Linked DNA regions of Callithrix jacchus. The protein of the gene in region 4 purifies or fractionates together with the protein of the main gene of each other region. This does not show direct contact. Links are inferred from orthologs where the notes say so. Each region holds a gene or a part of one and is shown on either strand. Other genes may lie near its edges.

Region 1 (8,103 bases), on a different chromosome or scaffold from region 4:
GAGGGGAAGTAAACATGACTGCATGCCGGGCACTGCCCCCGGTTCTCCTCTCAGGCCCTGAGCAGAGCTGCCCATAACCCAGGATGCCACATTGTTTCTGGAAAAGCCAGAGGAACAGGGGAGATTATACCTTCCATCTGCCCCGGAAGTATATACCACCACCCTGCAGAGACTTCAAGGCCTGGTATTCAACTGGGGCCTGGGGCAGGTTCCCAGATGTTTTGCTCTTTTTCTTGAGATGGAGCCTTGCTCTGTCGCCCAGGCTAGAGTGCAGTGGCACAGTCTACTCACTGTAACCTCTGCCTCCCGGATTCAAGCGATTCTCCTGCCTCGGCCTCCCCAGTAGCTGGGATTACAGGTGCCTGCCACCACGGCCGGCTAATTTTTTTTTCATTTTTAGTAGAGATGGGATTTCACCATCTTGGCCAGATTGCTCTCAAACTCCTGACCTGGTGATCCACCCACTTGGCCTCCCAAAGTGCTGTGATTACAAGTGTGAGCCACCGCACCCAGCCTATTTTGTCTTTTTAGTAGAGATGGGATTTCATGGGGTTTCACCATGTAGGCCAGGCTGGTCTCAAATTTCTGACCTCAGATGATCCTTCTGGCTTAGCCTCCCAAAATGCTGAGATTACAGGCATAAGCCATCGAACCTGGCTTTTTTTTTTTTTTTTTTTTTTTTTGAGACAAAGTCTCCCTCTGTCACCCAGGCTGGAGGATAGTGACATAATCTCGACTCACTGCAACCTCCACCTTCTGAGTTCAAGTGATTCTCCCACCTCAGCCTCCTGAGTAGCTGGAATTACAGGTGCCTACCACCACACCTGACTCATTTTTTAATTTTTAGTAGAGAGAGACAGGGTTTCACCATATTGGTCAGACTGGTTTTGAACTCCTGACCTCAAGTGATCTGCCAACCTCATCCTCTCAAAGTGCTGGGATTACAGGCATGAGCTACCTTGCCCAGTCCCAGAAGTCTGGATGATCTGATTGGACCCCCAGGCAGCTATCTGCAGCACAGGGGCTGGTGTTCGCCACAGAGCAGGCACCCTGGGAAGCCCTGAGGGGCCCCAGCTCATCCAGTGCCTGCTTCTCTCAACCTCTTTGGAAATCTGAACAGATTGGCAGCAACCGCCTCCACACAAAGCCTTGTCAAAGTATAACTTCAAATACATACAAAGAAAAATAGTAATGATTCATATATAGAATGAACACCCATCAAAGATCAATTACACATCAGTTCAGAAGTGTTCGGGAACTCTGAATCATGTATGATTCTGAGAATCTGGGTACATGTATTTCATGTATTTGTAAGTTTTTTTTTGTTTTTTTGTTTTTTGAGACAGGGTCTCATTCTGCCACCCAGACTGGAGTGCAGTGGTGCAATCATAGCTCACTGCAGCCTCGACGTCCTGGGCTCAAGAGATCCTATTGCTTCAGCCTTCTAAGTAAACAGAACTACAGGCACATACTACTATGCGCAGCTGATTTTTAAAATTTGTAGTAGAGACAAGATCTCGCTCTATTGCCCAGGCTAGTGTCAAACTCCTGGGCTCAAGCAATCCTCCCTCCTCAGCCTCCCAAAGAGCTAGGACTGCAGATATGAGCCACTGTGCCTGGCCAGTAAGCATTTTAAGAGAAGCAACCCAGACAAAGATTGTGATGTTAGATACGAACCAGTTAATGAAGTTTTCTTTTCTATGGGATAGAAACTGCAAGTTAATAAGTAACTTCAGTGTCTGGGCTGTAATCAAACAAGCAGGAAAGTCAACACAGCCACAATCCCTGAGATTAGGATCAGCAAACGTTTTCTGTAAAGGACCAGGCATGCAGCTCTGAGTCACAACCACTCTGCCACGTAGCACAAAAGCAACTACAGCCAACGTGTAACAAATCAGCATGGCGTGTGTGGCTGGGGTGGAGCTCATGCCTATAATCCCAGCACTTTGGGAGGCCAAGGTGAGAAGATCACTTGAGGCCAGGGGTTTGAGACCAGCTTGGGCAACAAAGTTGGACCCCCCCCCCCCCATCTCTACAAAAAGTAAAAAAAAAATAAATAAATAACTGGGTGCTGTGGTGTCTGCCTGTGGTCTTAGCTATTGGGGAGGCTGAGGCAGGAGGACTTGACCTCGTGGGAGGCCTGCCTCAGCCTCCCACCGTGGTGGGATTGAGCCCAGGAGCTTGAGGCTGTAGTGAGCTATGATGTCGACACTGCACTGCAGCCTGGGCGACAGAGCTGGTGTCACACCACTGCACTCCAGCCTGGGTGACAGAGCTGGTATCACACCACTGCACTCCAGCCTGGGCGACAGAGCTGGTATCACACCACTGCACTCCAGCCTGGGCGACAGAGCTGATATCACACCACTGCACTCCAGCCTGGGCGACAGAGCTGATATCACACCACTGCACTCCAGCCTGAAGACAGAGCTGATATCACACCACTGCACTCCAGCCTGGGCGACAGAGCTGGTATCACACCACTGCACTCCAGCCTGGGCGACAGAGCTGATATCACACCACTGCACTCCAGCCTGGGCGACAGAGTAAGACTCCGTCTCAAGGAGGGCCTTTATGCTAAACTGTAGTCTGCAAAACAGCCAAACCAAAAGGTAAGATAGACTTATCCACCAAGTGCAGTGGCTCAATCTTAGCCCTTTGGGAGGCTGAGATGAGAGAATTGCTGGAAGCCAGGAGTTCAAGACCAGCCTGGGCAACACAGCAAGACCCCAACTCTTAAAAGAAAACTAGCTAGGTGTGATGGCACGTGCCTGCAAGTCCTAGCTACTTGAAAGGCTGAAGTGGATCTCCGGAGCCCGGGAGTTGGAGGCTGCATTGAGCTATGATGGCACCACTGCACTCCAGCCTGGGCGACAGAGTGAGCCACTGTCTCTAAATGATAATAATATATAAAAAGATTTACATAACCCTCCGAGCTCCCTCTCACTGCTGTATACACCCGCCTCCTTCCCCATCCGTCACCCAACTGTCCCTCCCTTCTAACAAGCCAGTGGCATCCCAGCCAGGGGTCTCACAGCAGTCGGTGTAGGCAGCCTCGGCAGGGGGCTTAGCACAGATCTGCCTCTGGCCACGAGACCTTCCTCAGCTCCCCTCACGGCTGCCAGCCGCAGCTGCCCATTCCCCTTAGCTCTATTCTCTCTATTCAGGGGCCTCCTGCTGTGCACTCCAAGGGGGTGCACGGTTGCAAAGCGAGATCAAGGGTCGTGGGGAGCAGAGAGGCACAGCTTGGGGTTTCCACTCAGTCAGGATTAGGAGATCTCTGGAGGGGCAGAGCAGCCCTCCCGGCGCTCTGAGCATGCGCCAAAAAGCGCCCACGTTGAAAGCCACGAGGGGGTGAGGGGGTGGGAGTTGGGGGGGTGGGGCTTCCATACTGACGCAGGCGCAGAGGTACTGGCCTCGCTCGGGCTTTTCTCGCTCCTGCGCAAGATCCTCCAGCCCAATAGGGGGCGATGAGCTGGTCCCTACGCTAGTTTGACCCGCCAGAGTAATCCGGAAGAAGCCTCTTACTAGGGCTTCGGAGGCGGCGGCAGCGGACGCTTAGGGTCTGGACGCGGCAGTGGTGGCGGCGGCGGCGGCGGCGGCGGCGGCGGCGGCAGGAGTATGAACGCCCCTCCAGCCTTCGAGTCGTTCTTGCTCTTCGAAGGCGAGAAGAAGTAAGTGACGCCAGCTGGGAGGAGCCGAGGTTTGCGGGGCTGCGACTGTCGCATTCCGGGGGCGTTTCCTGCCCATGTCTTGCTCCGGGAGGGAAGCAGCTTTTGCCTGATAGTCCGCACGGCCTGTGTCGGCCAAATTTAAGCCAGTTCCGGGAGGCAGTGGCGAGTGTGTCCATTTGGCAGATGAGGACACTGAGGCTCGGAGGAGCAAGTTGCCCCAGACACGGAGGAGGTGGCGGGGCTTGTATTCGAACCCAGAGTGTCTGGCTCTCCATAGCCCTCTTCCTCTGGGACGTGGCAGCCTCCTCTCTTGTCTTCCGCCCGCCGCCTCCATCCCCCGTGTCCTTTGATTTGCCAACGGCCTGTGTAAAAGCCGCAGTGGCTTCTTGCTGCCTGCTGGTTGAAGGAGTCCCCGGGAGAGACAGCTTGGGCTTGGCCCCTGGGTCCCCCACTTAGCGACTGTATCTGTACGAGTGCCGTGATCTTTTGGAGGCCCTGTTTCCTTTTCTGGAAAATGGATTTGTTACTTTTCATTTTTTTCGAAACGGAGTTTTGCTCCTGTTGCCCAGGCTGGAGTGCAATGGCGCGATTTCGGCTCACTGCAACCTCCACCTCCCAGGTGCAAGCAATTCTCCTGCCTCAGCTTCCTGAGTAGCTGGAATTACAAGCATGCGCCACCACGCCCGGCTAATTTCTTATTTTTGGTAGAGACGCGGTTTCTCTATATTAGCCTGTGTGGTCTCGAACTCCCAATCTCAGCTGATGCTCCTGCCTCGGCCTCCCAGAGTGCAGGCATTACAGGCGTGAGTGACGGCCTCCGGTCTATTACTGTTCTTAAACATGGGATTTGGCCAGGTGCGCTGGCTCACGCGTTTAATCCCATCACTTTGGGAGGCTGGCTTGAGCACAGGAGTTGCAGGCTCCAGTGAGCTGTGATCGCATCACTGCACTCCAGCCTGGGCGACAGAGTGAGATCTTGTCTCAAAAAGAATTGGATGAGGTAATTTGTGTCAAGCACTTGGTCTAAAGCTCGGCACCTGGAAGACCTCATAACCACTGGCTCTTACTGTTCCCAGGTTGGCGTGCAGAGGTCTTGGTCTGGCCCTTGCCGGCCAGTTTGGCCTTTTTTTTTTTTTTTGGACAGTCTCACTCTGTCCACCCAGGCTGGAGTGCAATGGTGTGATCTCACGGCAACCTCCACCTCCATGTCCCAGGTTCAAGTGATTTTCCTGCCTCAGCCTCCTGAATAGCTGGGATTACAGGCATGCACCATCACATCCGGCTAATTGTGTGTTTTTAGTAGAGACCGGGTTTCTCCATGTTGGTCAGGCTGGTCTCAAACTCCCAACCTCAGGTGATCTGCCCGTCTCTGCCTCCCAAAGTGCTGGGATTACAGGTGTGAGCCAGTGCACCGGGCTTGGCCTCATTTTAGAGCAGACTCTCAGCTGGGGACCATTTGGCAATAATTGGGGACATTTATGGTGTCAAAGGGGGTTATGACTGGAATCTACTGGATAGAGGTCAGGGTGCTGCTGCTGTCCAGCAAGATAGCACCCCACAGGAAAGAATCATGCAGCCTAAAACGTCTGTGGTGTCAACATGGAGAAACTACCTTAGAAAAAAGGGGCAGTCAGGCACAGTGGCTCACGCCTGTAATCCCAGCACTTTGGGAGGCTCAGGCAGTTGGATCACGAGGTCAGGCGTTCAAGACCAGCCTGGCCAACATGGTGAAATCCCGTCTCTGCTAAAAATGCAAAAAAAAAAAAAAAAAAGCCGAGCATGGTGGCACACGCCTGTAACCCCAGCTGCTCAGGAGGCTGAGGCAGAATTACTTGAACTGGGGAGGCAGAGGTTGAAGTGAGTCGAGATTGTGCCACTACACTCCAGCCTGGGCAACAGAGCAAGACTCCATCTCAAAAGAAAAAAAGGAGCAGGCTAGGCATGGTGGCATGCGCCTGTGGTCCCAGCTACTCAGGAGGCTAAGGCTGGAGGCTACAGTGAGCTGTGATCACACCACTGCACTCCAGCCTGGGCAGCAGGAGGGATCACTTGAGGCAAGTTCAAGACCAACCAGGACGACAAAGCAAAACCTCATCTCTTCTAAAAGAGAGGGAGAGGAAAGACAAGAGGAGGAACTCCGAGAAGGGCCAAGGTTCCACAGACCTGGGGTAGGGAATCAGGCTGGAGAGGTCTTTATGGGAGGAAGAGATTGAGAAAGGTCTTCAGGAGGAGGCAGAGCTTTTCATTTTTATTTTTTTGAGACAGTCTTGCTCTGTTGCCTAGGCTGGAGTGCAGTGGCGCAATCTTGGCTCACTTCAACCTCCTCCCAGGTTCAAGTGATTCTCCTGCCTCAGCCTCCCAAGTAGCTGAGAACACAAGCATGGACCACCACACCCAGTTTGGGTTTTATTTTTAGTAGACAAAGTTTCACCATGTTGGCCAGGCTGGTCTGGAACTCCTGACTTCAGGTCATCCATCTACCTCAGCCTCCCAAAGGGTGGGGATTACAGACATGAACCACTGCACCTGGTCCGAAGGAGGCAGGGTTTAGACTTGGGGTGGGCGGAGGGGAGCCCCTGTCCCTCATCTGTGGCCTCTGTGTCTTCCTAGGATCACCATTAACAAGGACACCAAGGTACCCAATGCCTGTTTGTTCACCATCAACAAAGAAGACCACACACTGGGAAACATCATTAAATCGTAAGTTTCCCGTCAAAGGCTCTCAGGGGCTATGTTTAATAGGCGCCTCTGGGCAAAACAGAAGTTTTAAGATTTTCCTCCATCTCTCAGCTACAGGAAGTCCTTCTGGGGGCTTGCTCTGGGCATTTGGTAATGTTGGTACTTTATCAAAATGACGCTGACCTTCATGTCTTCACATAAGCTACGCTTCTGTAGTGGCTTATTCTGTAGACAAACGTGCATTTACTTTTTTTTTTTTTTGGGAGTTTTTGCTCGTTGCCCAGGCTAGAGTGCAGTGGCGCAATTTTGGCTCACTGCAACTTCTGCCTCCCAGATTCAAGCGATTCTCCTGCTGGGACTGGCCACCATGACCTGCTAATTTTTGTGTTCTCAGTAGAGGCGGGGTTTCACTATGTTGGCTAGACTGGTCTTGAACTCCTGACCTCAGGTGATTCACCTGCCTTGGCTTCTCAAAGTACTGGGATTACAGGCATGAGCCACGCACCCAGCCTTCCATTCACTGTTAAGTGCACGTTCTGTGAGTGAGTGAGAGCAGGTTCCAGCAGAGTAGGCCTGTGTGTTCATGGGCTGAGGGGCACTGAGCAGCAGTCAAGATTAGCTCCCCCAATGCCACCCCTATTTGTGACCTCAGTGCCACCTGGCACGCTTAAGATGTATGTGGCAGAGATGAGAACTTGTGTTTAACAAGGGAAAGAGGTAGGGGAGTTCTGTGGTTGTCCAGTGCCAGACAGGTGCCTGGCCTTGGTTCATGGGTGTTCCTTTACACCACTGAAGTCCTAGCTAGGTGGTTGATTAGGAATGTGACTGTCATTTCACTTGTAGACTTGGCTCTTCCCTCTGGTGCCATCAGTGAAGCCAGGCTTTTCCCAGGCTGTGAGAGGTGTGCCCAGGCACAGGGATGGAGGACTCCTCCCCGGAGTCCAGCCAGTGCAGCCCCTATGCTCTCCTCCAGCCCAGTGTTGCCAGCTGTGCACGGGTGTCCTTTGTGGTGCTCACAGGAGACCCTGCGTGCCCAGGGCACAGCACACAATGCTGCCCAGAGCCTGGGCCCTCCTCTCCTTGCTGCCTTTATTTGCTGTGGGATGTTCTTTTTGGGTCCGATTCATTGAACACTGGCTGGACATCCACTGCCTGGGAGATCTCTTTGCCAGCCCTGTGGTTCTTTGTGGGAAGAGGTTGCTGGAGGCTGTTTCCTGCTCAGGTCCTTCAACCTTAGGGGTGCAGGGAGGGGGTGTGTGTGTCTTCTCCCCTTCAACTTCATGCATGCAGGGTGTGTCCGAGTTGGGGGTGGGGTGTCCCCATATGATCTATCCTCCTGAAAGCATTGCTTTCCTTGAAGACTCTTGGGGGGGAAAAAAAAACCGGGGGGAATATTTGGCTAGAAAGCCTGTCCTTTCACTCTGAGCCGGCTTCTGCCTGGCCTGAGCCTAGAGGGCACAAGGCTAGATTCTCACACTGTCTTCCTTGGATTTCAGACAATTGCTAAAGGACCCACAGGTGCTATTTGCCGGCTACAAAGTCCCCCACCCCTTGGAGCACAAGATCATCATCCGAGTGCAGACCACGCCGGACTACAGCCCTCAGGAGGCCTTCACCAACGCCATCACTGACCTCATCAGCGAGCTGTCCCTGCTGGAGGAACGCTTCCGGGTGAGGGCAGGGCGGGCTGGATGCTGGGCCCCTTTGCCAAGCTGGTGACAGCCCTGGGCTGTTTCTTTGGAGAAGCGGT
Region 2 (7,672 bases), on a different chromosome or scaffold from region 4:
AGTCTATATATGCCTCTTTCAGCAAGAAAAGCTAAGTACTGACAATTCAATTGTAACAACAACAAAAACAAACAAACAAACAAAAAAGAAAACTGGTTTCCTTAAGAAACATTCATGTTCTGTACATGAACCTATCATCTGTGACAGCAAGGAGCTCAAGTCAGGTGATGCACAAGCCTTCACCTAGCGCAGTTAGCTTGGACTTTTCCTATACCAGATTTGCCTGAAGTAACAGAAGATTATTTAAAAAGACCTCCACCCTCCAGCATCCACTCAAAAAAGAATTCCTTCCTAATCAAAAGAGTTAACATTCTTCCTAAGGAAAGACAGAAAAAAGGACAAACGCATTTAAGCATTTTCCATGCATGTCTTCCTAGGTATTTCACATCCAGTGTCTCAATAACCCCATGCCAACGTGCATACAGCTCTTTAGACTGCTCCCTTCCTTACCCAAAAAAGAAGCGAACTATGTCTTCCTCACAGATTTTAGATGCCTGGGACAAATAAGTATGTCACTGAGAGACATGGAATAAATGCTATTTGATAGGTAAGCATAAGGAAAAAAGCAAAATCACCTCTTTTCATTTGGCGTAAAGAAATAAAGTATGTTCTACTGTATACTAAAATATCAGACCAATACACAACACACGGCAAAATTGTAATACAATGTGGTTAAACACAATATTCAAATATTAAACTTTTCAAGCACACGAAAGCCATCTTCCGAAAGACAAATGGGATTTTTTATAACTACCTTTGTGTGACTTTATAAAATGACTTCCTTCTACACTATCTGACACTGATCTTGATACTAGTTGGAAAGTCTGATGTAAGATGATGACATCTCAACGTCAGTGATTTAGGAGATTATCTTCAGAATTCGTCAGAGGACCCATCGTCATCTTCATCCCTTACTTCTCGGTATCTCCCTGAAGACTCCCCTTCTGGATTATAACTCCGCATTTTAATATTCAGTCTTTCAGCTAATTTTTGCGCAGCGAGCTTTGCTTGCATCTCCTTTAAAACAAAGAGCAAAGCAAAAAGTTACATAGTCACATCTCTTCCTTACAATTTTTCAATGGGAAGTTATTAGAATCAGAAATAAGAGGGGCACTGACATCTCACTGAGTACTGTCTCTGGCAATGCGAGCCTGATGGCTGTGCCCTATCACAGACACAACAGAGCAATGCTTCTAACAGCCACCAGCCTGCTACAGTTGAAGTTACTGACCTCCATTAATAAACAACATTGCACTGAAATACACTCTTCTGTTCAAAAAAATGAGTCATCACCTTAGCACTACAATACTTATAAATTCAGATGCATTGAATATGTGGGCATGTGCACATATATACGCACTCGCCTAACAACTTGAGCTATCAAATGTCAAAAATCACTAACACTGTCTACATTTCTACAACTGACAGAACCTTCTTCCCTAATCACAATCACAGCTTCTAGACTTGAGAACTGAATTTCAATGGCAAAATAAAAATCAAGAAATTAATACTAAGAAGCTATTTCTCGCCACATAAAGTCCTACAGCAACTAGTATTCAACAAAAAGTCCAAGTAAATTTCAGACACTGGCAATGTGCTTACAAACCTCCAGGGACCTTACCACCAACTGACGGCAGCTGGCAAAGTCACTCCTAATTCCGTTCTTCCCTTTTCTCACGCTTTCCTGAGGTTCTTCATGTCCTTCACTTCAAGCCATGAATATGGGTAAGTAAAAGTCGGAGCCATTACTACCACAACCTCTCTCCCAAGAAAACCAATTTCAAGCCGAAGGTTTAATTGAACCTAAAAATATCTTAGAACCGGCATTTAAGAGCCCAGAGACAATTTAAGCAACACTTCCTCAATGCTACGGTCATGACTAGTCAGTCATTTTAATGCACTGAGAGAAAGAAAAATGGGTTTTTTTTAAACAATAGCACCTTGAAAACGCCAATCCATGCCAAGCCTTCTATGAAAAGCCAACGCAGATTATCAGCCTGTTTTGTTGTTCGTTTTTTGGAGACAGGGTCTCACTCTGTCACCCAGGCTGTATAGAGTGCAGCGGTGCAACTGCAGCTCACTGAAGCCTCAACCTCCTGGGCCTAAGCAATCCTACCTCAGCCCCACACGTAGCTGGGACCACAGTCACGTGCCACAATGCCTGGCTAATTTTCTTGCGAAGATACGGTCTTGCTCTGTGCAGCCTGCTGTTATACTAACTGGTGCACTAGTACCTGACTGAAATCAAAATAAGCAACATCTAGGAAATGAGACAGGACAGTCTGCCGGCTAAACAACACTATCCTCCCACTCCTTCTATGCCCTCCCCTGTACTGCAGGAGACAGAAGCCTGGGAACTACATTTCCTCATTCTAGAAGGGGTCTGGGTTAGAGTCCACCACTGAGAAGCTGCCACATGGGTTTTACAAGGTGAAAGGGAGAGACAGGGAGGGATGCGATGCCACGACTATCCTAACAGAACAGGCAGGTGCGTGAGCTTTGAGACCTGAAATTCTACAGCAGTCTCCCCACATCTTCTGGCAAAGCACCACTTTTTTTTTTTTTTGAGACGGAGTTTCGCTCTTGTTACCCAGGCTGGAGTGCAATGGCGCGATCTCGGCTCACCACAACCTCCGCCTCCTGGGTTCAGGCAATTCTCCTGCCTCAGCCTCCTGAGTAGCTGGGATTACAGGCATGCGCCACCATGCCCAGCTAATTTTTGTATTTTTAGTAGAGACGGGATTTCACCTTGTTGACCAGGATGGTCTCGATCTCTTGACCTCATGATCCACCCGCCTCGGCCTCCCAAAAACCCACTTTAATGTTGCAGATTGCTGTTCATCTCTAGCTGTTTCCTGCAGTTCTACCAACTTTGTGACTCTGAAAACCAGTGGTATAGGTCTCAGCTCATGGAAGCACCTAATCCCCTCTATTCCAGTCCATCCTCCTTGAACCTGGAATAAATTCTGACTTATGTAAGCAGCACCCAACAAACAGACGAGAGAAAAACAATACTCTAAATACCTCATAATTCTGTTTCTGCTGTTTCTGAAGTGCCAAAGACTCTTCTATGGAGAGCAGCTGCGCGGGCGTGTGGTGAAGGGGCAGAAGCCGAGCTGCTGTGATGTCATCGAGGTGCTGCTTATCCCTGCGCCGCCGCTCTTCTGCGGAAATGGGAGACCTTCTCTTCTGACCGTCACCAGATGAATCAATTTGTCGAGAAGGTAATCTGATAAAAGGAAAACTTGTGTCACACAGACTATTTTCTTTATTTGTAGACACATTTAAACCATTCACACAAAAGGCCTTTAACCTTAGCAATCAATTCTCCTCCAAAGGTAATAGTAAGCAGTTTCCCAATATTCACTGCGCTGACAAATAGGAGTGTGTTTGCGCATACAGGCTCTTTGCCTTTTCCTTCATCAAACCTTATACTTTAACTGGAGCTTTTCTTTTTTCACTTATTCATTCAATGAACATTTGCAAAAGGGTTTACTGCCTCGTAGAGAGAAATAAACATGTAAAGTTTCAGTGCGATATAATACCAGAGGTACTATGACAGATACCTCAACGAGATACACTGGAACATAAGGAAATGGCCAGTTCCCGTGGGAGACAGGGAGGTTGTCAGAAAAGCTTCCAAGAAGTGACATTTGAACAGTCTTGGAATAATAACTGCTTACCCCTTAAATGAGGAGAGAAGTGCATCCCAGCAAGGGGAGTGAGAGGAAGCACAGCAGGCACAGACACCCAGCTTTTCTGCTATACAGAAAAGACGGCCACAGAGAGGGCTGGGAAGTAGGATGAGCCCAGACTGCAATGAGAAGGTCAACAGAACAAGTTCAGATTTCCATCTTAAAATTTCACTCTGGCAGCAGTGGAGACTGACTGCTAGTTAAACTAGAGGCAGGAAGAAGCCACAGTTGTAGCCCAAGAGAGGGGAGTGTCTTCACTCTGACAGAAGATGAAGAACAATTATACAGATGAAGATCAAGGAAAATACATTACGTAGGTCTTCATGGTGAGCAGATAAGGAGATGAGAAAAATGAAAGATACCTTGGGGGAAGAAAACCAAGAAGAAGGTGGGGACACTATTAGAGAATATGGAAATTACCTTGGAAAGAAACAGGGGTGCCACTTTGTACATGATTAAGCTGAGATGCCAGGGAACACCCAAGTGGTCAAGTGTTATGGCTAATTGGCCATGTAACCCTAAAACTTCTGGAAGATCTGGAGTAGAGGTAGACAAGGGGCAGCCTCCAGCATCCAGGTGATATACGAGGCCAGAAGAGTATGCAGAAGGAAGAGCAGAAAGGCTCAAACGGACACTCCCTAAGCCCATTTTCCAGCCTCCAAGCCACTTCTTACCATGTGTGTAGCCTCTGGACTCCTCAAAGCCCTGCCTTTCCTGCTCTCCTTTAACTACACAGGAGGCTCCCTCTCTCTTAAACTTCCTGCACTCTTGGTAACCCTCATCACTATTCCCTTATCTCCCTCCAACTCCTACATAAATGACCATAATACAGAACTGGGATTAATGTATTCTTTGTTGTATTTATTGGCTAGATGACGGTTCTAGTTTTCTACATGTCATCCTGGAAGTGAAACGTGTACTTCACTGTATACAAGAGATTACCTGACCACATTAATATACTATAGTCCTGATTTTGTATTCAGCAGAAATCACGTTTTCAGGTTAAAATGAATGCTGGGGTTGAGTTAAAGTGTAACAGAAAAGACGCATGTTTTAGGTACTTTTCGCTAGAGGTCTTCTGTTTTTCAGAGAATGGTAGTAGTGATTTAACGGTGCATTTGATGTTATGTACTTGTAAATACAGCACGGGAAGGTAGCAGTTACCCGAGCTGAATGTTACATTTGCTGCAAGTAAATAGCAATTCTTTTCAAAAAGATTTTATTTTTCCTGAAATGTCAGAAATAAATTTATGGCAAGGAACTGATAAGCAGAGTTTCTGCCCATCCTGCATGAATCTATTTTCACAGTTTTCAAACCGCTTCTCAGCTTCCTTCTCCCTGAAACTATTAGTATGTAGTTTAACTCTTTTGCAAGTGTGTAAACCTTGGGTCTTCATCCAGCTCCTAACCTCACTGAAGAACAGGGAGTTTATTACATTATACGTGTATACATTATGGCCATGTTTTTAAACTTGAGATACAACATTAATAAGGCAAAGGAGTTTAAGAATTTTGACTTCACTGTGTCCCCACAACACCTGCTGCTTGCTTACATTTAGTGAGCATGCACATCTCTTCTGCTGGAAAGCCCATGAGCTCCAGCTGCAACTGCCTTCCCCTTAGTTCACAGACTAATCACAGTGAGTACACTTTGATAGTACACTAATCAGAGCTGTACGGTAAAAAATGGTTCCGAAAAAAAGAAGTCATAATAAATTCTCTCTCCAACCCTGTTTATTAGGAAATACCGGGTCACAGCCTGAAATTTAATACTCCCCCATGTGCTATTTAAGACCTTTTCAAAACTAAGTATTTTTCAACATGAATCTTCCACTCCATCCAGGCTGGTCTGTGTTTCCACAGTATGTTCTTTTCTAACAGGCAGTTCTCACACAAAGCCACGGAACTTAGAGCATTCTCCTGACTTTTTTTTAAAAGAAAAGGTTGCCCAACCTTCTCCAACTCCTGTCCTCAAGCTGTCTTCCCACCTCAGCCTCCTGAGAAGCCTGGGACTACAGACAAGCACCATCACAACCAGCTTCTCGTAACTTTTTAGGTTTAACAAATACTATGCCCCTGTTACAGGCCTGTTTCCGATGGTACTTACACATTGGTCTTAAATGTATGCAGCTGGGGCACTGGGTTTTTGGCTCGCGTTTCTAGCACTTCCATGTAATGAGGCTTCTTCTGAGTCGCATGAGAAAGGCCTGTCAAGTTCATGGCACCTGTGCTTTCTTCTGACTGTTGTTCACCCTGGTCTGCAATGCTGATCCCCTGTAACCTGTCAATAAACAGGCTGTCAGAGCTGCTGGAAGTATCTTCTGCTTGACTTGAAACACGATGCTGCGGGTGATGCTCACTAGCTTCAGACGAAGGCGGCGCTCCGTCTCTGTTGCTGGAAGCTGGGCCCTTACTCACTGCGTACTCAACCTCTGGAGTCTCTTCATCACCTTCATGAGTAGGACGTCCAAGTCCCTGGTTTCGTGAGGTTGTTTCAAATGACTTGATGTTATCTACAGAGGAACAGCCAGGAGCTAGTGATGAAGCATCAAGTATCTGGTCAGAATTCCGGGCCTTATCTGTATCGACATCCACCTCTGCAGTGGCTTCTTGCCTTAGCTGACAGTCTAAACTAACAGCATGAAACAGTTCACTTTTTCTTCTAACTTCTTCACGTTCTGCAATGGCAGCTTTCAGTTTGGCAACAGAGTCAAAAATCTTTTTACCTTTGTCGGGCAATTTGCAAATGAATTTTCTGTCAAATGGAAAAGAATACATATATATTACAGTCACGTTTTTAAACTTGACATACAACATTAAAGAAGCTAAGCATTAACTTGTAAGAAAAAAAGCCAATTTTTTAAATCGAATATCTGATTTCTAACTTCTCCAAAATGGGAATAAAACAAATAAATGGCCATTATCCAAAGAGCCCAAAAAACACGGGAATGCAGGAACAGAGAATATATGCCTCATTTGTCTCAGCAAATTAGAATTTCAGCAAAAGTACTTCAAGCATATAATAATCACGTAAGGCATTCCAAGAACCAGCAGTCATTAAATCTCCAAAATGTGAGGATGGGGTTGAGTGTGGGGATGGGTCTATTAGGTCAAAACTACTTTCATCATAATACCAAGATGTTATTTCCCTCTCACTTCCTCACATGGGTACAGTGGAGTTTTCCAGAGGCTACATGACATGTGATGACATCATTGTTCTAGAATAGAATGTGTGCTTGTGTATACTTACGTTTTAAAGACTTCAGCTGCATTTCTGATAAGTAAATGAATTTTGCTAGATATAACACATAAATAATTCCATGGGATGTCAATAATTCTTAAAGTATAAAGGAGTCCCAAGACCAGAAAGTTAATTCACTGCCATAGATTGAAAACCTGTTCTCACAAGGTCAAAACACCTGTCTGGACCCCAATCAAATATTTATCTCTTTTGTTGGATAACAGAGTTCCTTTTCTGATTCCCTTTTCTTTATAGAATCAATGGAGAGAAAAAATTAAACCCTGGGTCCTCTGTTCTTTTCGACAATGCATTCATTCTCACAACTGACAACACTACAGCTGAAATTCCTATGTTTTCTATATTTTTCCAATTTCTCTCTTTCTTGAGCCTCATGACTGCTTCTCCAGCTTTTGTTTGGTTTTCACTTAACCAAATGTCTGTCCTGCTCTCCTCTCACCTCCGCACACCCTAAGTAAAATCAACCTTGGATCTATTCCTCTCCCCGAATTTTCCTATTTTTTGCTAGTGGTGTTCCATATACATAGGAAACTTCGGCCATCTCTGCCAACTACATGTAAATTAGTCCATGCTTAAAGTTTTCCCAATTCCTTCCTAGTTCACTTCCTTACAACTCTCTCGTGGGGAGCCTCTCTGCAAGCATCCTTCTACTGTCCTCTGCTTTTTATTCCTTCAAACCATCTTTTGCACGAAGCTGCTGAACACAACTGCCCAAAAC
Region 3 (7,672 bases), on a different chromosome or scaffold from region 4:
AGTCATGGAGGGCCGGGCACAGTGGCTCACGCCTGCAATCCCAGCACTTTGGGAGGCCGAGGCGGGTGGATCACAAGGTCAAGAGATCGAGACCATCCTGGTCAACATGGTGAAACCCCGTCTCTACTAAAAATACAAAAAATTAGCTGGGCATGGTGGTGTGTGCCTGTAATCCCAGCTACTCAGGAGGCTGAGGCAGGAGAATTGCCTGAACCCAGGAGGTGGAGGTTGCAGTGAGCCGAGGTCGCGCCATTGCACTCCAGCCTGGGTAACAAGAGCGAAACTCCATCTCAAAAAAAAAGTCATGGAAATAAGTCCATGGGAAATAAAAAATTGGAAAAGAAAGATATGGGCTGAGGGCAGTGGTCCACTCCTATACTCCCAGCACTTTGGGAGGCTGAGGCAGGAGGATCCCTTGAGACTAGGAATTCAAGGCTGCAGTGAGCTGTGATCATGTCAATGCACTCCAGCATGGGTAACAAAGCAAGATCCTCTCCAAAGGAAAAAAGAAAAAAAAAGATATAATTAGAACTGAAAAATTAACAAGACTTATTATCTATTCCCTAACAAACCAAACCAAATCACTTTCTATGATTCTTTTGTCTATGCCTTTGCTTGGGCAATTAACTCGCTCTGCTTTTGCTTACATAAATCTTACCCTTCTTCAAAGCATACCTCTAATGCTACAACCTCCAAAATCGGTCATTTTGATCTGCTGCCTCACCATCAAGCCCAACTTCCAATCATTCTTAAAGTACTTACTACAATATATCGTATGTTTTAATTCTATGTGTAGCCTTCTCTCCCAAATATAAAACAGAAGTTGGGGTCCCTATCTTATTCTTGTACACTCTACAATTTTTAATAAGCAATGATTTAAAAGTTATTTTTCAATAGGTAATAAGCTTCCTTTCTCAGCCAGATTCAAAGCCAGTTCTGTGGGTTAACAGGTAATCTGGAGAGGCCGTCAGTGTAAGCAGGAGAGAAAATTTACCCTGAGTGAGCTGTAAAACTCATCTAGCACCAGGCTCATTGAACGAGTCAGGTTACTGACATATGTAGTCTCTTGATTCAAGGCATCTTGGAAAGCCTCAAAATCCTGCATCCATTCCACTGCAAAGCTGTGGTCAATGATGTCAGTCTGTACCAGAGAGAAGTCAATTATGAGAAACCAGAGATAACAAAGGCAAATTTTATTATTTAAATTAAGTAGTGACAGCAAAGAGCATATCATCCATATTATTTTCTTGCTCTGCTTCTATTTCCCCTCCATTGCAACAAGCCACAAAGAAACACCATCATTGTGTAGTCATCGTAATTAAATGAAGATGTGTATTCTCTTAGTTGACCCTCCACTATCCATTGCCAAGTAACCAGGGCCAGAATGGACACCAGCATATTCCAGGCTCTGAAGTCAAAAGGTCTCTTGCATCCTAGCCATCAACCAACAGGGAAGTTTTGTGTTTTTTAATTGCCACTCCCAGTAGACTAGTTGTCCCTCTCGTAATTACAGTCTTGACTCTGAGGGATAATCTACACACTATGGTTGAGGGGCTACTCTACCTTACCTAAAATAGTTTTAGACAAGAGTTAGTAACAATTACTTATTCAATTTGATTGATTCATTTTCTCAAAGTGCCTATGAATTTGTTTCAGTAAAGCCTGAATCTGGTCTCCAGCATCTGAAATAATCCTCTGACCCACCCAAACCTTCTAACCACAAGGTTCTGATGAAAAATGGTGAATCACAACAGGAAAAATACACTTACTTTATTCATGACCACAATGAAAGGCAGCTTGGTTTTGTATAAGATGCTGAAAACCAAACATTGAGATGTTATTTTAAAAAGCACATAAGCTCTTGCTCATCCAGTGTCGGCATGTTGGGACTAAGAGAAGGGGAATGAGTTCAGAATCTAAAAAGCAGTCATCTTTTTTTTTTTTTTTGAGATGGAGCCTCACTCTGCCACCAGGCTTGAGTGCAGTGCCGCAGTCTTGGCTCCCTCTGCCTCCTGGTTCAAACAATTCTCCTGCCTCAGCCTCCTCAATTGCTGGGACTACAGGCATACTCCACCACGCCCAGCTAATTTTTATATTTTTAGTAGAGACCGGGTTTCACCACATTGGCCCAGATGATCTCAATCTCTTGACCTCATGATCCACCCACCTCAGCCTTCCAAAGTGCTGGGATTACAGGTGTGAGCCACCACGCCCAGCCTATCCATTTTACATAACACTCACATCTTCTCTCCCAACAGGAAAATAACCACCACCCAGAAACAACACACACACTCGCACTCTCATTTGAAGTAATAATGCCCTAGTATTGAACTTGCTGTTTTGTTTTTTATCAAATTGGTATTTTTCAGAGAAGGAAATGAACATTTATTGAATACCGATTACGGGTTGAGAATTTCTTATCTGAGATACTTGGAACCAGAAGTGTTTTGGATTTCAGATTCTGGAATATTTGTAAATACTTATTGGTTAAGCATCCCAAATCTGAAAATCCAAAATCCTCCAATAAGCATTTCCTCTGAGTGTCATGTCAGTGTTCAAAAAGTCTCAGATTTTGAAGCATTTCAGATTTCAAATGTTTGGATATGGGATACTCAACCTGGGTGATCTAGGTACAGCGCTAACAAGCACTTTTATACGTATTATCTCCTTTATGCTTTACAAATGACACGTAAATAGATAAAACTTTTGTTTGTGAATTATACCTCAGTAAGGCTGGGAAAAGAACATCAAAATTTTTTCCAATCTGTAAAGTAATGTTTTTTAAATGTTTCTACCCCCAGCCTTACTGAGGTGTACTTGACAAATAAAAATTGTATAGATTTAAGGTGTGTAACAGGGTATTTTGATGCACAGTTGACCCTTAAACAACATGGGTTTGAACTGAAAGGTTTATTTGTATGCAGCTTTTCTTCCACCTCTGCCGGCCCTGAAATAGCAAGACCAACCTCTTCTCTTAGACTACTCAAAATGAAGATGATGATAATGAAGAGTTTTATGATGACCTACCTCACTTAATGAATAGTTAATATATCTTCCCCTTATTTGCTCTAGCTTCGTTTATTATACGAATACAGTATATAATATATATAATGTGTGTTAATCTGTTTATGTTACCAGCAAGGTTTCCAATCAGCAGTAGGCCTTTAGTAATTATGTTGGGGGAGTCAAAGTTATATTTAGGTCTTCCATACCAAAGGGGCTGGCTCCTCTAACCCCAAAATTGTCCAAGGGTCAACTGTATGTTTATATCATGAAATGATTACCAGTATGTTTAAACTGTATGTTTAACATATTTAAACAGTTAAACATATTTAAACTGTATGTTTAATCATGAAATGATTATAAAAAAATAATTATTTTTTTAAAGAAATGATTACCACTATCAGACAAATCAAATAATTGTCTTTTAAACAATTAATATAAAAATGGGCCAGGGCACAGTGGCTCATACCTGTAATCCCAGCACACTGGGAGACCAAGCAAGGCAGGCAGATCACTTGAGCTCAGGAGTCTGAGACCAGCCTGACCAACACGGTGAAACCCCATCTCAACTAAAAATACAAAATTAACCAAGCATGGTGATGGGTGTCTGTAATCCCAGCTACTCAGGAGGCTGAGGCAGGAGAATCGCTTAAACTCAGGAGGTGGAAATTGCAGTGAGCTGAGATCATGCCACTGTACTCCAGGCCTGGGCGACAGAGTAAGACTCCATCTCAAAAAATATATAAATAAATAAATAAACAATATGAAAATAAAATAATGCTGTCAATATTCAGATTTCTATTTGGATCAATATTTCTTGCATACAACAAAAAGGCACATCCTTTGTCATATTAGAAGAGACAAATGTTGGTGATGGCTTTTGTGTACCCTTAAAATTAAATTCCCTGAGCTTTAATAACTGTCTGCCTTGCTCCTCAGTCTTAATGCACTAATATCCAGTGAAGCATGCCCTTCCTCTGCTAATGGTGCCACATTTGGGGCAAATTTGTGCATTTTAGTTTTTTGAGACAAGGTCTCACTCTGTTGCCCAAGCTGCAGTACAGTGACATGATCACAGCTCACTGTAGTCTGGCCTCCCAGGCTCAAGTAATCCGCCCACCTCTGCCTCCCAGGTAGCTGGGACTACAGGCACATACCACCATGCCTAGTTTTTGTATATTTAGTAGAGATGGGGGTTTGACCATGGTGCCCAGGCTGGTCCCAAATTCCTTGGCTTAGGCAATCCTCCCAGCACAGCCTCCCCAAATGCCGGGATTATAGGCATGAGCCACCATGCCTGGCTACCTGTGCATTTTACAATTATGGATAAATTCTCTTATTCGTGGTATCTCCTCATGTTACAATTTCACTCTATCAGCAATCATTCAGGCCAGAGGACTCTATTCTTCTTCTTCCTTTTTTTTTTTTTTTTTTGAGACAGGGTCTTATTGCCTTAAGCTGGAGTGCAGTGGCACAATCATGGCTCACTACAGCCTCAACCACCTGAGCTCAAGCAATGCTCCCACCTAAACCTCCCAAGTAGCTGGGACTAAAGGGGCGTGCCACCATGCTGGCTAATTTTAATTTTTTGTAGAGGTAGAGTCTTGTTGCCCAGCCCATCTCAAATTCTCAAGCTCAAGCAATCTTCCCGCCTTGGCCTCCCAATTGCTGGGATGACAGACCCAGTCCAGAGGACTCTGTTCTATTTACACTTGGATTTTATTCAACTGGGAACAACTATCAGACAGCTCATATTCATACATCACCTATTTTTGTAACAATAAGGGAGGATGATCAGAGCGTACTGAGAGGGAACGCCAACAGCACATGTGCCTCTTTTCTCCTCTGACCTTCCTCAACTCACAGCCACTCAACTGAATAGCAAATATGAATGAGCATAAATCCAGGGATAAGCAACCAGATTCAAAAACAAAGAGGAAGAAGAAGAGAAAAAGGCCTTGTACCTTGATGGAACACTGCCCACCAATAAGCAATTACCTGCAGGCATAGAGCATGTTGGACATGAAAGTCACTGGGTTGGTACTTCTTGATGTGTCCATTACATAGATGACAACTGTTGGAAATGAGGATGCCTAAAGCCACAAAATAATCAAAGCCTTGGTCAGAGGGCTCACAACCTGTCCTCAAACTCTTTTTCTACCATCCTTAGCAAGGGAAAACCACTTTGGGAAGGGTTTGCAGAGCTTCTACAACTCCCTGTCATATAACATCCAAGGCAATTAAAAATAAATTCTCACTCAGTCTAGCCCCTCTAGCTACTCTCAGTAGCAAGTCCTAGAATACTCACAAGGGCCTCAGTGATAATTGTCCCAGAAGCTGACCAGGTGAATACCTCAATCTGTCCAGGTGTGTCAATCAACACATATCTATGTCAAGAAAGATCATTAAAAAAGTGTTATGTGTGTTATGCTAAAGGATATTCCGTCATGTAAGACGATAAACATCTGGTTATCCAACACTGGAATAAGCTCTTCACACTGCCAAATCTAACTTCCTCCTATTGCCCTCAAACTACACATGATGATCCCCTACACCTTGTTCAATGAACAATATTCACGTTAATGGGCAGGAACAGCAGACCATAAGTTGCTGCAAATGATCACAGGGGAATCTATTATAGTTACAGAAACACAATGCATTAAAAATGAAAGAAGCAAAAATAGGATGTAAATCTCTTGGGAAATATCTGGTTGCTTAGGGTGGGGTGAGTGTGGTGTGTGGAACAGAGGTAGAAAAATGGGAGGAATGGGATAGGGAAGTGCTAGCTGAAGAATATCAGGTTACTTCTTGAGATGATTAAAATTTCTAAAATTGACTGTGGTGATTGTTGCACAATTCTATGAATATACTAAAAGCCACTGAATTATATACTTCAAATGGGTGAATTGTATGGTATGTGAATTATCTCAGTAAAGCTATTTTTATGAAATGTACTGACTTTTTTGTGAATTAATTTGATATAATTAAAAATTATATCAATATTTTTTAATTGGCAAAGAATTTTAATAGACATTTCTACAAATATATACCAATGGCCAATAAGTACATTAAAAAGATGCTCAATATCATTAGTTATTAAGGAAATAAAAGTTAAAAACCACAATGAGATAACAATACCCACTAGAATGGCTATAATCAAAAACAACAACAACAAATGTTGGCGAGGTTACAGAGGAACTGGTTGTGGAGAAATCGTATTGCCAATGGGAATAGAAAATGGGTAGCCACTAGGGACTGAGAGGAATGGAAAATAAAGAGTAATTGGTAATGAGTATGGGGTTTCTTTTTAGGATCATGAAAATATTCTGAAGTTACATAGTAATGATCAACACACAACTCTGTGAACAGATTAAAACAACCATACACTTGCAACGAGTGAGCTTTATGGTACGTGAATTATATCTTGTTTCGTTTTGTTTTTTTGAGACGGAGTCTTGCCCTGTCACCCAGGCTGGAGTGCAATGGCTCAATCTCAGCTCACTGCAACCTCCACCTCCTAGATTCAAGCAATTCTCTTGCCTCAGCCTCCCGAGTAGCTGGGGTTACAGGTGCACACCACCACACCCTGCTAATTTTTTGTACCTTTTTAGTAGAGACAGGGTTTCACCATGTTGGCCAGGCTGGTCTCAAACTCCTGACCTTAGGTGATCCGCCCGCCTTAGCCTCCCAAAGCTGGAATTACAGGCATGAGCCACCGCACCCAGACGAATGATATCTTAATAAAGCTGTTGTTTAAAAAAAAAAAAAACCTCTAGGCCAGGCTTATTATAGGTGGCTCACACCTATAATTCTAGCACGTTGGGAGGCTGAGGCAAGCAGATCGCCTGAGCCCACAAGTTTCAGACAGGACTAGGCAACACAGCAAAACCTCATCTCTACAAAAAACACAAAATAGCTGGGAATGGTGGCTCACACCTGTAATCCCAGCACTTTAGGAGGCTGAGGCAGGCAGATCACTTGAGGTTAGGAGTTCGAGATCAGCCTGGCCAACATGGTGAAACCCCATCTCTACTAAAAATACAAAAATTAGTCAGGCATGGTGGCAGGCACCCGTAATACCAGCCACTTGGGAGACTGAAGCAGGAGGATCACTTGAACCTTGGAGGCGAAGGTTGCAGTGGGCTGAAATCATACCACCGCACTCCAGCCTGGGCAATAGAGCAAAAATTAGATTTAAAAAAAATTAGCCAGGTGTGGTGGATCATACCTTTAGTCCTAGCTACTTGGGAAGCTGAGGTGGGAGGATCGCCTCAACCAGGGAGGTAGAAGCTGCAGTGAGCTGAGATTGCTACACTCAACTCCAGCCTGGGCGACAGAGCAAGACCCTGTCTCAAAACAAACAAAACAAAAGCTACCTCCAGTACCCCATCTTTGTAAAAATATCCATTCATCCTTTTAACTATGTATGTAGAATTGTGGAATGCTAGTCACTGAACAATGGCATTACTTGTAGTGGAAATCAGAGCGATAGTTTTATCTTGTAAATATCATGTATGGTTTGAATTTTTATAAATTACTTTTTTTAAAAAACCTTGAACAATAGCTAACTGTGTTGGTAATGACCATAAGAACAAATATTTCCTATTTTGATACTTTTTAAAGTAAAAAATTTTCTGTGAACCATGTGGACTATATTTATTTAAATAAG
Region 4 (7,672 bases):
AAAGGCGATTGTTAAATTCATAGGGAATTGCAAGTGGTCCCGATATCCAAAACAACATTGAAAAAGAAGAACTCTGAGGACTCATACTTCCTGATTTTAAAACTTACCACCACAGAACTAGTGATGGAGACAGTGTGGTATCAGCATAGGATAGACATAGAGATTAACAGAATAGAATTGAGAATCCAGAAATAAACCCATATATCTATGGCCAACTGATTTTTGACAAGGGTGCTGGGCATTCAGTTGGAGGAAAGAGTAGCCTCTTCAACAAATGGTGCTGGGACAAATGGGTATCTACACGCAAAAGAACAAAGTCGGTCCCCTCCCATATCACACCACAAACAAAAATTAACTCAAGGCCAGGCGTGGTGGTTCTGCACTTTGGAAGGACGAGGCGGGCGGATCACCTGAAGTCAGGAGATGGAGACTACAAGACTAGCCTGGCCAACATGATGAACAGTGAAACCCTGTCTCTGCTAAAAATACAGAAATTAGCCAGCCATGGTGGTAGGCACCTGTAATCCCAGCTACTCAGGAGGCTGAGGCAGGAGAATTGCTTGAACCCAGGAGGTGGAGGTTGCAGTGAGCTGAGATAATGCCACTGCACTCCAGCCTGGGCAACAGAGCAAGAGTCTGTCTCAAAAAGAAAAATAAATAACAGTTAAGGTAAAACTACAGATTCCTGACCTTTTTTCTTTCTTTAATACTTATACAAATAGGCTTTTTCTCACACACACAGAGACACTTTTCCACATGCACTGATCGTGCTAATGGAACATGTCCATACCATGCTTTATTCAAACTGACAAGACAGGAACTCTGCCCAACCCACTCAGACTGTCTTATGAGCTTTCAGTAGACACCTGGGAGTAATGAGTCACCTCTGTCAACCACAAACATACTTTCTCTTTGCTCTGGAAGTGAAGTTGGAAGGCTTTTCTGGCATCTTTGGCCTTTGCTTTTTCAAATAGGCTTTCTCCTATGCCCTCCACACTCCCTAATCTCCCCTTTGGGCTGCTATTTGTGCCTCCTTCCACATGTCTTCTTTTCCATTTCTAGGTTTTTTCATTTTCATGACAGAAACATTACAAACAGATTTTCAGCAGCATTCCTTCCACCCATGCCTGGTGTTTAAGGGCCAACATCATAGGTCAAAGTTAATCATGACACCCAGAAGCGAAAGTCAAAAGCAAAACAAAACAAAACAAAACAAAACAAAACAATGAATGATTATCTCAAAACAAAGCATAATTCTACTTAAAGGAAAAAAGAAAAGTAGCAGAAAAGAGAAACCTACAGAAATTGCTAAAAATGGTTACCTTTCTGTACTAACATATTCTTTACAATCAATCATTAAATCAGGTTTGTTAAGCCATTTTTAATGCAACCTAAAAAAACAAAACCTTTTCTCTACAAAAAAAGGTTACATCAATTGATGGATTTCAGTTACAGAATATTTATTGAGGAACAAATACGTTCCTGGCACTGTGAGAGCACTCAAAGAGCATACAGTCCAGCACTCTGGGAGACCTGCTGAAGGCATTATGGTTTCAGAAACTGCCCATGATTTGATAATTCGCACATTTCTAATAAGCATCTGATCAAATTATTATTAGCATCTTCATTTTTTTCTTGGTCATTTCAATGGAGAAACAGGTCTTACTGACATTTTTCCTTACTGACAACCTTTCCTGAATTCTGTATTAACCCCTTGCTTGCTGCTGTTTCCCCCAACTCAAGTGTAAGCCCTTTGAGGGGAGAAGAGCATCTTGTTCATCTTTGTACATCTGGCTGGCACAGGCTTTGCTGACTCCCTGAACGAAGAGGTAGCTTCTTCAACAGCACAGACCTTAAGCCCCCACTGGTAGTCTCCAGCACCTCCTTCCCACATCTGCTTTGTGTTTTTTCAGATACCTGCCTGCCCCAGTCTAACTGCTCCGATTTATAAACACGCTACTCTTCTTCAACCGCTAGTTCCTTTTACAAAAAGGTTTTATTGCCTGAGAGGAAGTCTGGACTACCTTATACCACAATCAGAACTGCCAAACGCCTCCTTAATCTACATTAGGTACAGTCAGTTGGTTTGGTTTTATGTTCGCCTGTGCTGTTTATGCCAGAATATGATTTCCTTGAGGGAAGAAACATAGTCTCCTCCTTCGAGCTATAATTCCCTCTCCTACATCCCAGGCTCTTGAATCATCACATGCCTTATCCTGACATAAAATTCCTTCCATAAAATCCACCAACATAAAATTCCCGAGTGAAAGAGAAAAAGATAATTATTACATAAAGCAAGATATCAACTTAAGAAGGAAAGGACAAAGAAAACTAAGTATGTTAGAGCTCTGGGAAGAAAATGGACTCCCAAGCAAATAACCACATCTCCAAAGAGTTCTGAGAATTCCATGTATGTATACACTGAAGGCAATGAAAGGATTAACAAAATAAAAGATGTAATTACCATTCTGATTTGGCAGTTTTAAAATGGACTGGCTGTGTTACAAAAATGAGTGTTAAGAAAGCAGGTACTTTATGTACTGCCCCATCACGCAGAGAGAGACTTTCGGACAGTTTGAAGGAACGCATAGTATTTACGCATCTTTCAAGTGGCACATATTTATCAAGTTGTGCCACCACCACAGGGATGTGATGGAACAGGACCAGTCTATTACAGAATGTGAGAGAAAAATCTTAGGTTCAGGAGAGCAGATTGCCTGTATTTTTAGCAAGCATGGATAAAGAAAAGAACTAAAACCATCTCTCAAATCTTATACTGCAAGGCAGGAAGATAACTTGAGGCCAGGAGTTCAAGACCAGCCTGGCCAGTATGGTGAAATCCCGTCTCTACTAAAAATAAAAAAATTAGCTGGACATGGTGGTACATGCGTGGAATCCCAGCTACTTGGGAGGCTGAGATAGGGGGATCGCTTTAGCCTGGGAGGTAGAGGTTACAGTGATCTGAGGTCACACCACCGCACTCCAACAGAGCAAGACTCCATCTCAAAACGAAATACAACAAAACCTTATATTGTATCTAGTCATTTGCTTTCTTAAATGCAGCAAGTTTGGCTCTATTTTTACAATCAATGGTTCCGCTCACGTGCCTGGGAGGCCTGGTTTGAGGTAAAAACCTTCAGTTCAGGCTCTGTACTTTGGTTCCAGTGGGGGAGGCTTTCTGTTCCGCTTCTTCAGCAATGGAATGCCAACACCATTCCACTGAATGAACTGGGCAGAGCAATGCAGACTGGAAAGTTACTGAAGAGATCCAAATCTCTAATCTGTTTCTCCACCTTAATGCCCTCTCGTAGCGTCCAGGAAACCACTGGTTCTATAGAAACCAGAATGATTCCCCAACAATACACAGAGGAGAGTGCAACTGTGGGGAGGGAAAACAGAACAAAGAGTTAACCAGTTCTACCAACCCGGTCTCAAAGACACTGTCCTCTATGGTTGCTTGCCACGTTCCACCCAACAACAGCTGCTCGTGATAATCAATGTCTGACAGATCAGAGAAAGCCCTTAATGTGTCGCCAAGGGGCAGTTCAACAGATGGCATGGTGACTTACAACCAGAATCATTAATTACACTCTCTTATTAGTCCCGGGGCACAGTGCTGAAAATGCTTCCTCAGTGAAAGATGAGCATTTCAGATAAATGACCGTCTGGTACTGCCGTGAAACTCCCTTTAGGATCTCCGGTCAGTGCCGATGTCTAAATCTAAGCCATAGTATTTTTACAGCCCTTCCCATCTTCCATATTCAAGCAGGCTACGAATATGAAGCTCCTGCTACCACTACCCATCACAGTTCCCATAATCATTGCAGGTAAGGCTATGGTAAAAAGTGCCTACTACTCATTTCCCCTCCCAACTCAGACGACTGTGTGGAAAGGCAAATATGATGATCTCAGCCTCTAAGTTAGCTCAATCTTATCTCCTTCTGTGCCAGAGCACATTTCCTGAGCACGGAGGCAACATGGCTCCGTCTTTCATTTACTCTGAGTGGGATTTAAGAAGTATTTCTTGAAACATAACATGACTGGCACTCTAACTCAGAAGCGTCCTCCTTCACAAAACCACTGGCTGCCAACTCTCTTCCGCATCTCTTAAAAAAAGAAGAGCAGACATTCCTGAAAAGGAATTGCAGCGGCCTGGGGCAGCAGAAGTTCCTGGACATTCACACTGCTGGCTCTGTTATCCCCACAGGACCAAGCACGAGGGTGAGCCACCAGGTACTTAATTACAAAGCCAAACATGGTGAGGAAATGTTTCTGAACTCCCTCCCCAAGGTCACTCAGACTGTCCTCAACCCAGGGTAGAAATGAGTTCGTTCTCAACAGTTTGAGAACTGGGGGCTACATGAATACTACTGTGAAATTTAAGAACTGACTACAGAGAGATCATGGAGGCAGACAACTTCTTGGCCTCAGCAGGGATACAAGTCAGAGATAAACCTCCAAATGACGTAGAAGAAAAGCTTTTTAACACTTCCCAAATACTACCAAGCATATTCTTTGGTTTTCACTGATCTGCTCTTCTTTTTGTACCTCAATTTAGAATTTTTTTTAAACATGAGTTAAAATTAAAGCAATCTTTTTTTGAGATGGAGTCTTGCTCTGACACCAGGCTGGAGCACAGTGGCGCAATCTCGGCTCACTGCAACCTCTGCCTCCTGATTCAAGTGATTCTTCTACCTCAGCCTCCTGAGTAGCTGGGACTACAAGTGTGCACCACCACGCCTGGCTAACTTTTGTATTTTTTAGTAGAGACGGAGTTTCACCATGTTGGTCAGGATGGTCTCGATCTCTTGACCTCGTGATCCACCTACCTCGGCCTCCCATAAATGCTGGGATTACAGGTGTGAGCCACTGAGCCTGGCAACTAAAGCAGTATTATGCTCCTAAGGCTGTGATTAAGAGTTCACTGTTTGTTTCCTAGAGTCTAATTTGTTCTGTCCTGGACATATAAAAACATGACTTCAATTTTTAACTTGGTTCAAGTAATTACAGCATCTGATGGATATGCAGAATTCATATCATAAATTTTTCAATGATAAAAATGTAGTTAATCAAAGCATAATAAAAACCTCCTATTGTGGGCCACAGGAAGGGAAACTTGGGCAGTCTGGGTCTGCCTTTCAATGCACTCACCTCCAGCTTTTTCTCCTTCTCTGACAAAACATCTTTCTGATTCTGGGTATACTCCACCAACATCCGAGCCAGCTGGCGACGGTCCTCTAGTTCTGCCGCCAGGCGCCCGTTATATTCTGCTAGTAACAGACATGCTTCATCTACTGTTTTCGAAAGACGTTCAGCTGCCTCTTTGTCTAAGTACAAATGAGACCAAAAAAAGAGAAAATATACAAATCACATAGGTACGATTACAAACATTTCTGGGGGATGTTAATGGTTTCTCTCCCAATATACAGAGTCTGAGCATAAGCCAGAACCTGTGGACAAACAATGGGTTGATTGACCAAGAAATCCAAAGGCATTCACTCTGTCAACAAGACAGGACACTCCTCAATTACCTGAAGCAAGTAAGTTTTACCAGGAGCGGGGGCTCTGCAAGGGCTTTCTAAATGCCTGTTCCTGCAAAAGCTCTCCAGATAAAACAAGCAGAAAGAGATACTGAAGGTCATCCATGAAAAGAATCGTTCCTTGCCTCTGAGAATTTCAAGTGCTTTCATTTATATTACAGTTGGTCCCCTGTATCTGTGGGTTCTGCATCTGTGGATTCAATCAATCATGAATGGAAAATACTCAGACCAAACAACCCACAAATAAAAATAACAATAAAAAACCCCACAATTTAGAAAATACAGAATAAGAACTATTTACATAGCATTTACACTACATTAGCTGTAAGTGATCTAGAGATTATTTAAAGTGTAAGGGAAGACGTTCATAGGTCATAGACAAATTCCACACCATTTCATTTAAGGGCCTTGGGCAACCTTGGATTTTGGTATCCTCAGAAGGTCTTGGAACCAATCCCCCATGGACATGGAGGGACGACTGTATTTCATTAAGCAGTCTTTTTACATTCCACTGGAATAAAAAATAGCATGTACTTATTTCTTTGATGTGGGAACTAAGATCCAAAAAAAATAAAATAAAATACATGACAGGTTTTGATATGCAGTGAGCTGAGACGTTGGGACTCGAAGCCAGATTTCTAAAATGATCTATAGTACTCTATCTCTTAAACTATGTAAGCTTGGACCTGGGGATAAACAGGGATGAACTTCTTCCTGCATTCAACAAAATGTAAGCCTGATAAAGAGGTTTTCAAATGTTTCTGAACATGACCCACAGCAGAAATACACTTACGTAAACACATAGAAAAATAAAAGAAACCAGCTTCATAAAACAATACCTCTTCTTACTATGCGTGCTCTATCTTCTATTCAGTTTTTTAAAAACTGTTGGTCATTACCTACTAGACTGATTTCATACCCAATTACTGGGTTGGAACTCATCCTTTGAGGGTCGGAGGAACTGAGAAGTATAAGAAAGGGTATTTTGGGAAGAAGTGATGAACAAAGAACTGATAGAATTAATTACGTGGCGGTGGTGGTGAAATTAGAATTTTAAATACGTATACCTCATTTTTAAAAGGCCTGAATGGCTCGAAAGAGCAGGTTGGTGCTTTGAAACAAAGAGCACCACAGAGTGCAGCATTTCCAGGGGATAGTTCTGTGACACTCCCTATGGATACAGGATGTCAGAGGTGAGAGTTCACATTCTCCTGAGGAACTAGGTTTTAAGAACTCCCAACACAGTATCTCTGGCAAACAGCCGTCTGGCTTTTAGATACCTGCTTACTGTGAATATTGGGAGAGGAACTGCTGAAGGATTCCAGATTGGGTGTGATGCCAAAGATCAGGCACTTCTACCCTCCACAGGGATGGGAAACACAAGAAAGTCCTTGGTGAAAGGGAAGAAGTGAACAGAATGGAGCACAAAGGAAAGAGACAATCTCAGTCACAGAGGACAAAGGTCAAACTTCTCCTAGCTCAGTGGCTCAGTCCATGAGCAAGCTACTGGGGTGGTGAGGTTGGTTTTAGTTTTGTTATTGCTTGATTGATCATTTTTAAAAAATCGTTAATTCACTAAGATGTTTAGGTACCTAGGGCAAAAAATGGTGAAGAAAATACTAATTTTTAAGATTAAAAAAATCAATTCGCAGCCTTAAGAACTTATACAAAGGAAATAATTCATTTACACAAATAATTACAACCCACAAAAGTAACTTATTATAGTGTAATGAGTCACACAAAATATGCAGTCAAAACGCAGAAGCCAGATGCTCGCTCCAGGGGACCTACCCATGGCTGTCCTCACGCTCTCCTTCACCCATCAGTGAGTGGCTGTGCGCCTCTTTCAGCCAGTTCTCCATGCGCGCACCAGCATCTCATGCCCTCTTGTTTCCTCAATGACTAAACTTCTGCACTGTCCCATGTCTTCCCTACCTCAGCAAATTCTCTCTTCCCTTCCTGAAGAACGCTACTAGCACACAAACCTGCTATGTATTCCAACCACACATCGCTCTCCCACTATTGACCCATTTCCCTGCTCCCTCTTGTAGCTCTTTTGAGAGAAGTGTAACCACCTGCTCTCCTCCTAAGCACACCCCAAACAGGTTTTATGCCCCCCAATCCTCTGCTCG

Evidence for each region.
Region 1: the proteins of RPRD1B (region 4) and POLR2J purify together in Homo sapiens (affinity purification with mass spectrometry; 3 studies listed by BioGRID and IntAct, counting the BioPlex papers as one, with this or other methods). This does not show direct contact. The link is inferred for Callithrix jacchus from reciprocal best matches to the Homo sapiens genes RPRD1B and POLR2J.
Region 2: the proteins of RPRD1B (region 4) and POLR2M purify together in Homo sapiens (affinity purification with mass spectrometry; 3 studies listed by BioGRID and IntAct, counting the BioPlex papers as one, with this or other methods). This does not show direct contact. The link is inferred for Callithrix jacchus from reciprocal best matches to the Homo sapiens genes RPRD1B and POLR2M.
Region 3: the proteins of RPRD1B (region 4) and GPN1 purify together in Homo sapiens (affinity purification with mass spectrometry; 3 studies listed by BioGRID and IntAct, counting the BioPlex papers as one, with this or other methods). This does not show direct contact. The link is inferred for Callithrix jacchus from reciprocal best matches to the Homo sapiens genes RPRD1B and GPN1.

What each region holds. Positions count from the first base shown.
Region 1 is NC_133503.1:11,370,108-11,378,210, forward strand, and holds the start of POLR2J (DNA-directed RNA polymerase II subunit RPB11-a), read left to right. Parts: upstream 1-3,549; 5' UTR 3,550-3,621; coding exon 3,622-3,674; intron 3,675-6,284; coding exon 6,285-6,374; intron 6,375-7,849; coding exon 7,850-8,024; intron 8,025-8,103. UniProt on the Homo sapiens protein: Core component of RNA polymerase II (Pol II), a DNA-dependent RNA polymerase which synthesizes mRNA precursors and many functional non-coding RNAs using the four ribonucleoside triphosphates as substrates.
Region 2 is NC_133509.1:3,680,568-3,688,239, reverse strand, and holds part of POLR2M (protein GRINL1A), read right to left. Parts: intron 6,451-7,672; coding exon 5,803-6,450; intron 3,230-5,802; coding exon 3,025-3,229; intron 1,018-3,024; coding exon 874-1,017; 3' UTR 1-873.
Region 3 is NC_133515.1:87,404,618-87,412,289, forward strand, and holds part of GPN1 (GPN-loop GTPase 1), read right to left. Parts: intron 5,391-7,672; coding exon 5,312-5,390; intron 5,097-5,311; coding exon 5,002-5,096; intron 1,816-5,001; coding exon 1,770-1,815; intron 1,142-1,769; coding exon 995-1,141; intron 1-994. UniProt on the Homo sapiens protein: Small GTPase required for proper nuclear import of RNA polymerase II (RNAPII). May act at an RNAP assembly step prior to nuclear import.
Region 4 is NC_133506.1:33,508,008-33,515,679, reverse strand, and holds part of RPRD1B (regulation of nuclear pre-mRNA domain-containing protein 1B), read right to left. Parts: intron 5,328-7,672; coding exon 5,152-5,327; intron 3,380-5,151; coding exon of another isoform or gene 3,332-3,379; exon of another isoform or gene 1,364-3,331; intron 1-1,363. UniProt on the Homo sapiens protein: Interacts with phosphorylated C-terminal heptapeptide repeat domain (CTD) of the largest RNA polymerase II subunit POLR2A, and participates in dephosphorylation of the CTD by RPAP2. Transcriptional regulator which enhances expression of CCND1.